Linked DNA regions of Oreochromis niloticus. The protein of the gene in region 1 binds, or shares a complex with, the protein of each later gene. Links are inferred from orthologs where the notes say so. Each region holds a gene or a part of one and is shown in the gene's direction. Other genes may lie near its edges.

Region 1 (3,600 bases):
AACTCCAGTCATCATAAAGTATTACTATGGGGGTTTGGACACTGACAAAATTTTAAAGTTTTTCTTAATGAATTGTTGTACAAATTCACTTTAGGTGCCTTAGATCTACTCAGATGTAGTATATAATGTTTTATCAGTATTTAACATTAAATAACAGTGAAGTGGTATCAGAATTGTGGTGCACTTTTGCTGTATTCAAGAGTAAACAGGCAAATTTACCTTGACCAGCATGTTTGGCTGAAATCCATCTAGCTGGTTGAGCAGCTCCAGCATGGTCCTCTGCACCTCTCTGTCTCCAGCCTTCTCGCTGTCAAACCTCTTGGTTCCAATGGCGTCCAACTCATCTATGAAGATGATGGATGGGGCTTTCTCTTTAGCCAGGGCAAAGGCATCTCTCACCAGCTTGGCACCATCTCCAATGAACATCTGCACCAGCTGTGGACCTGCAAGCTTCAGGAATGTGGCTTTGGTCTGAGCGGCACATGCCCTGGCCAGTAGGGTCTTCCCGGTGCCAGGGGGTCCATACATGAGGACTCCCTTTGGGGGCTGGATGCCCAGGTTTTCAAACTTCTCCTTGTGGTTCATCGGCAGCACTATCGCCTCCACCAGCTCCTGGATCTGCTTATCCAGACCTCCAATGTCGCTGTACTGCTCTGTGGGGCGCTCATCCACCTCCATGGCCTTGACTCTGGAGTCATACTCGGTTGGTAAGGTCTCCAGGATCAGGTAGGAGTCTTTGTTAACACCTACGAGGTCTCCCGGTTTTAGCTTCTCGGCGTCCACCAGCCCGATCACCGGCAGGAAGTAGGTCTGCCGGGTTGAAGTTTTGATAACTGCGCACTTTCCTTTTCTCTGGGAGTCCAGGTCCACGTTAGCCCCGTCCTCCTCCTGGTCGTTGGGGTCCACATCCAGCAGCTCGATCACGTTAGACACCAGGTAGGGCAGCGTTTTGTTCACCTTTATCTTCTCCGTGTTTTCTTTAATTTTATCCTTCATAGCCTGAAGCTCGTGGGTTACTCTCAGCACTTCGCTCTTCATTATCTTTATCTCGCTGTCGAGGAGACGAGTGCGCTGAACTATCTCCTCTGTGGACATTTTTAACACTTCTTCGCCGATCCCATCCTCCACTTCATCCCAAACTGATTTGTCACTCAGCGACGCCATCTTTGCTGTGTCTGTGGTGAACTGTGACACGACGGAAGAAGAAGAAGGAGAAGCTTCCGGAAGTAGGTCGTGAGCGCCCAAGAAGAAGTCCGGGTTAATAACGGAGCTGGAGCTGAATTTATGCTGTTTGTGTGTTGATTTTAACAGCGGCACCTTGATTGTAAGCTAAAGAAGGGTTTTCTGGTTCATGCTGACAGACTTTTGAGTTATTTGCAGTTGTTTTTACCGCATAAATCCGAAATTTTTAAACGTTTACGTTGCAGATTCATGATTGCTAAATTTGCTAATGCTAACTGCCGCTAACTTCAGCTAGCCCGTGTGCTTACACGTTTCATTTTGTGCGAGGAATGTTTGGGAACTTTATTAGCGGCATTTTGCACACTTAACTGGTTAAAGGACACCTCATGTACTGGGCAAGAAATGAACGAGAGAGTTAAAGTAATGTTAGAAAAGGTTAAAGTTATTTAAATGAGTTCGCGCCACCGCTTGCTGCTGCACGATTTTGGTTTCATTCATTTGCATGTTGTTTACGCCACTTTGTTTGAATGTTTGTCTGAGTAAAGTGTGCTTCTTGTCATCTTTTCAGGCAAGACACTACTGCCGGGGGTAAAAAGAAGAGTCTGCAGTGTTTGCGTCTGGTGTTTGACATTGTAGGCTGAAGGTTTAAAGAGCCCTGCTGGGTTAGTTATCACGCTTTTACTGCCTTCTACTGGGTGGCAGTGAAGTAACGTGGGAATCTAAAGGGATGGACCAGAACAACAGCATACCAGCCTTCCAAGGGCTGGTGGCTTCCCCTCAGGTAACATGGGCTTTGTGTTTCATCGTTAAGGCATTTTGAAAATGAAGTCACAGATTTTAATGTCTTTAGCTATCCGTTGTTTCTTTATATTTATGCATCCAAGGAGCCAAGTTCTTCAGGCTTTCTAGGTTCTTAAAAATGGGGACTTTTTTCCACATTTTCAGTTCAGTCCCTGTTTTCATAGGAATCTGTATTGTTTGTTAAACCACTTAAAATGACTACCAATGAGAATGAAGGATACTGCTGATGAATGTATGTTACTTATGCAACCAGAGCCTGCTTTCCAGTGATGAACCATTAGCGACAAAGTGATGGATGATGAGTAATTTCCTCCCTGTGTCAACACCCCTTAAATCATCTCATGTGTTACTAAATATTAAGGTTGGGTGATTGGACAAATATATTGACTATCGACGATAGGCTGAGCCTTTAACAGATCACTTTTACAAGAATGATTTATTTATTTGTCTATGAGTAAGTTTTCTAATGATGTTGGTTAAAGCTAAGAGAAGCAGTCAACGGAAAAAATACTTTTTAACGGCACCCTCCTCAGAGTGCGCCCAAATGCAGCGATTCATTTACTCAAACTCATAATAGAAAGAAAGAAAGGGAGAAGAAGTTAAGAAGAAATTTTTTTTTTTTATTTAAATAAAAAAAAACACACACGCAATGGTGGGGAGGGAAACAAAGAGATACTGGCTAATAATCCAAAAAGTAGCTATAATAATACTGAAACAAGCAAGAAAAGAAGGTGAAATATTCCCCCCAAACAAAACATATAAATTCTGAACGCGCAAATCAGATTACATTACATTGCTCTGCCCATCAAAAAGCCTGAACCTGCGTGAATATATTGCATATCGTCATTTATCGGACGGACCATTGTCGTTTGGAAACTTTTTACATATCGTCCAACCTTACTAAATATGATTTATTTCTAAAGTTGCGTCTTTATTTCAAGAAAAAAAGACACCTTGAGCTGTCACAGTTGTGATCACTGACCTAAAAACAAGAATACTAACACTGAGGGAACCGTCTTATATCTTTGGTCTGTAGTTAGTTTGTGCTTCATTACGCCCTTCTTTTTGCTTTATCCCCATGCAGGGAGCCATGACCCCAGGCATGCCGCTCTTCAGCCCCATGATGCCATATGGCTCTGGTCTGACACCCCAGCCAGTGCAGAACACCAACAGTTTGTCAATACTGGAGGAACAGCAGAGGCAACAGCAGGCTCAGCAACAGCAGCAACAGGCACAACAACAGGCACAACAGGCCAGCTCAGGTACACCACAAGCTGTCATTTTTTTTATCTTCCACATTTATTATGAGAAATCTTGGTTTAATTAGCCGTGATGGAAGTTAATCTCCAGTTACACATAAATCACCACTTTTTTTTTTTTTCCTTTTGCAGGGACGTCGGGGCAGACCCCTCAACTTTTCCACTCCCAGGCAGTGGGAGGCTCGACCACAACTGCACTGCCAGGAAACACCCCCCTCTTCACCACCCCGCTGACCCCCATGACCCCCATCACGCCGGCCACCCCTGCTTCAGAAACCTCTGGCATAGTACCGCAGCTACAGTATGTTTCACATCTCATCCCACCCACCCCCATTTTTGGTGATAACTGCTTTAAACG
Region 2 (3,830 bases), on another chromosome or scaffold:
TTTCTGACGAGGCTTCAGTGAACAGTAGATGGTTCACCTGAAGGTCCAGATACATCTTTCCAAACACATCTCTCTTGCTGGACTTCTGTTTCTTGAGGACATGACTTTCAGATACTGTTCATACGCTGTATGAAGCTTGTTGGACCTACCACCTCTTCTTTTGTCTTCTGCTTGTTTTTTTATTGCAATAAAACTGTACAATTCTTCCTCACTCTGTAGGTGATTTTCCTGAGGATTAATAACAAAGCTAATCTGTTCCCATTCAGACCGTGCAATATCACCCAACAGTTTTTCATTGAATGTTTGTTTCATTTCCCCATCGTATGCTGCTACTCTTTTATTTATTTGCACAATACTATACTTTTAGAATCACCTGCACTGATAGCTAAGCTAAGCTATTTATTTTTCAGGATATAGTTATATTGTTACTTGCTACAGTTATTCGATATTATATTTTGCACTATTCTACTGTATATTACTGTATACTTGTATTCTATTGTACATATTGTATATCTTATTACTCTGTTCCTCTGTCTCTCTTGCTGCATTGAGCATGTGTATGACAAAAGAATTTCCCTCGGGATAAATAAAGTTCTTCTTATCTTATCTTATCTTAACTTATCTTGTCCAGTTTCATCTGATATTTTACTTCAATTCAATTTTATTTCTGCAGGGCCAAATCAAAACAAAAGTTGCCTCAGGGCGCTTTGTTTTGTGAGGTAAAGAACCTACAATAATATAGAGAAAACATAGAAAAGCCCAACAATCAGATGACCCCTTATGAACAACAGCTTTGGCCTGGGACAGTGGAAAGGAAAAACTCCTTCTTTTTTTTTTTTTTTTTGCTTGAATGATAAGATCCATGTTAAGTAGTTTAAAAAGAAAACAAAGAAAAACCAAAACAAACACACAAGCAAAAAATAATCATCTGTAAATGTTCAGGTGCAAAGATTGAAGTGAAAATGAACGAGAAAGAACTAAAAAAAATGAAACTGAGAGAACTATTGCTCAATTAAATTTTAAGGAATTACAAGAAAGCAACTCCTTGAGAGCAGAATATAAAATATATAAACATAGTATAATAATGAATAATAAATAGAATAAAAATATGTATTTAAAAAATATAGGTGACTCAAGACTTTTGCACTGTATTCTGTAAAAGGGAAAGGAATAAATCTATGTTTATGTCTAAGTATCTAGGTTATGTGATGAAAATATTATGTTATTAAATTATTATATATTATAACTAACAATTATAACTATTGTTCGAAGCATGTAAACTTTTATTTTTTAGTAAAATTAGCTCGTGTAGTTACTAAAGACAGCAACGCTTCTTTATTAAAAGATCAATCCGAGTTTTTGTTGTTGTAATTCCACGAAACATCCAGCAGGCGGCAAACTAGAGGACCCAGGGCTGCGGCGTCCACAGGAAACAGAGATCAACAAAGCGGAAGTACTGAAAGGAAACCTCGATTATTTTTCCAGCTACCCAAAGGGGAAAGTGAGAGACGATTTTTGTGTCAAACAACAAATTTGGCATCACAGCAACGCCGAAGCATGGACAGATAGTGTTTGTTTAACTGAGTAAGTTGACAATTTGACGCACAGTTTTAAGATTTAGCCTCCATATCGATTCTCCACCGGATTCGGTGCTAACGTTAGCCGCTATTGTTTTTAGCACCAATGTTAGCGCAAACTTCGGTGTGTTTTTTATTGTTTGTTTTACTCGGTGAAACTCCACAGCCATGATTAATCTATGGTCTGTTGTTTTTATATTTTGAGTGTCGTATTTTTCACTAACTCGATTAATGTTTTCAGTAAACCCATGCCATTGTTTGTCGGCTAAGTTGCATGGCTTGGATTTTGGCATACTTTCGGTATTGTAAAGGTAGTAGAGTTACTAATAAATATTGTAAACAAAAAATAAAATCAACTAAAGCTAAAAGGCTTTATATTGTAAATATAAAGCATCGGCTTTTATGGTAAAACTTCGTGTTATTTTTTTACTTTAAAACCAAGAGTCTTCAGAGCTTGAATAAAGAAAGCAACTGGACTTCTTTAGCTTTGTGAAGACGTTTTATCCAAGAGGCTTATTCAATTTTAAAAACCAAAAAGGTGGAAAGTCCCAGGAATTTTCCCCTTTACGTTGTCCTGAGAGTCGTTAACCCACTATTAATAATGTGACTCATCACATGAACCAAGGTGTGAATAAAGGAGTGGGCCATTATCATCATCGAGGGGTTAAGGGTGAAACTACTGGGAAGGGATCCTAAGACTGCATTGTAGTTTGTTGATACCTGGCGTCCTAATTGTATCAATAATGGTCGTTCACAGTGGGTTTAGATGATCAGAACCTCAATAGGTCACATGATGGAGTGGGCAAGAGTAGTTTTGCCCTTATCCCCCAGTGATGGAAATGACCCACGCCCTTTTTTCACACTTTGGCTCACGATCAGTAGTCTGTCAACAACTCTCAGGACCACCTCCAAACAGGACGATCACTAGTACGGGTTAAATACCTGGACATCCCACCATTTGTCTTTAGAATTGAAGAAGCCTCTTAAATGGAAAGTCTGGCTTCACAAACCCAAAGACAGTTTCCCCCCTTTTCAAGCTCTGACAATTGAGAGGCTGCAAAGACATAAACTCTGCATTTTTGAGTGTAATTGGTAAAGAAAACGATGATACAAGCCTTTTTTTTATTAATGTCCTGACATTCAACCTAAACAGCTTGATCAACCTGTGATTAATTTCTGTAGTAACTCTAATTTCTGACTTTTTAATTTCAGATTCACGGCTGTGGACCTGGTAAAGAGGTAATTCATCACATCTGAGTTCAACTTGCTGCTGAGGGTTCGTGAGAGACCCACCACAACGGTTTTGCCCCGCAGTGACACTTCAGAGTCTCTCTGCTTTTCTTTTAGCCACTAGCATGGCTAACAGCACTGTGACAGTGGTTAAGGGTCTGCCACCAGGCCCTGCGGGTAGAAGTAGTCCAGAGGGATCTCAGGTTAGTTAATTTCTTACTTAGCAGAACCAAAGGCCAGGATCTGTGTAATAACTTACTGACTTCATGTCTTAAAATGCCAAAGATTGAGAGTGTATTTTGTTTTACATGAAGATTTTTTTTTTTTTTTTTTTTTACATGAAATATCATGAAAATATCAGTGCAAAACTTATGGCTCCTTGCTTTAAATGTGAGAAAACTGTGTTGTATTGTATTTTTGCAATCTCTTACTATCACTAAGCTGTTATGCAGACCACACAACCTCACCCATTAGCTTTGATGGATGCATCTTCTTTCTTCCCAGGTGCTAAGTAAGAAAAAGCTGCAGGACCTGGTGAGAGAGATTGACCCAAATGAGCAACTGGATGAGGACGTTGAGGAGGTTTGTCAGTAGTTTAAAAAAAAGTGCAAGATTTTTTGGCTAGACAGTAAAGCGTACGAACAGTGCATCTTCTCTTTATTGAATAACATTTAAACTTTTTTGCTTTAAAGCCTTTTTTCATCATTTGCAATGAAAACTTGCCTAATGCTGTTAACAGCTGAAAATATGATGGTTTTCAAGCTATAGTGAAACAGATGGTTTCTTCAGTTTGCTGTCTGGTTTTCAAAATCCCTGTTTTCTTCTCAGATGCTGCTACAAATTGCAGATGATTTTATAGAGAGTGTAGTGACGGCAGCCTGTCAGCTGGCACGCCATCGCAAGTCCAACACCTTGGAGGTGAAAGATGTTCAGTTACATCTAGGTAAGTTGCTTGTGACGTTTTTGAGTGATTGGGTCATTCTTTATTTTGTCAGGCTGTACTGTGTGCCTTGAGCTCTCACA

The links. Proteins that work in one complex are often made in the same cells at the same time.
Region 2: tbp (region 1) and taf12 share a complex: the UniProt entries of both Homo sapiens proteins name them as parts of the TFIID basal transcription factor complex. The link is inferred for Oreochromis niloticus from reciprocal best matches to the Homo sapiens genes TBP and TAF12.

Annotation. Positions count from the first base shown.
Region 1 is NC_031965.2:25,524,491-25,528,090, reverse strand, and holds the start of tbp (TATA-box-binding protein), read left to right. Parts: upstream 1-1,194; 5' UTR 1,195-1,324; intron 1,325-1,750; 5' UTR 1,751-1,909; coding exon 1,910-1,963; intron 1,964-3,067; coding exon 3,068-3,245; intron 3,246-3,374; coding exon 3,375-3,543; intron 3,544-3,600. Other genes in the region: psmc3 (26S proteasome regulatory subunit 6A), read right to left, coding at 220-1,164. UniProt on the Homo sapiens protein: The TFIID basal transcription factor complex plays a major role in the initiation of RNA polymerase II (Pol II)-dependent transcription.
Region 2 is NC_031976.2:26,032,270-26,036,099, forward strand, and holds the start of taf12 (transcription initiation factor TFIID subunit 12), read left to right. Parts: upstream 1-1,425; 5' UTR 1,426-1,584; intron 1,585-2,789; 5' UTR 2,790-2,932; coding exon 2,933-3,010; intron 3,011-3,311; coding exon 3,312-3,389; intron 3,390-3,635; coding exon 3,636-3,750; intron 3,751-3,830. UniProt on the Homo sapiens protein: The TFIID basal transcription factor complex plays a major role in the initiation of RNA polymerase II (Pol II)-dependent transcription.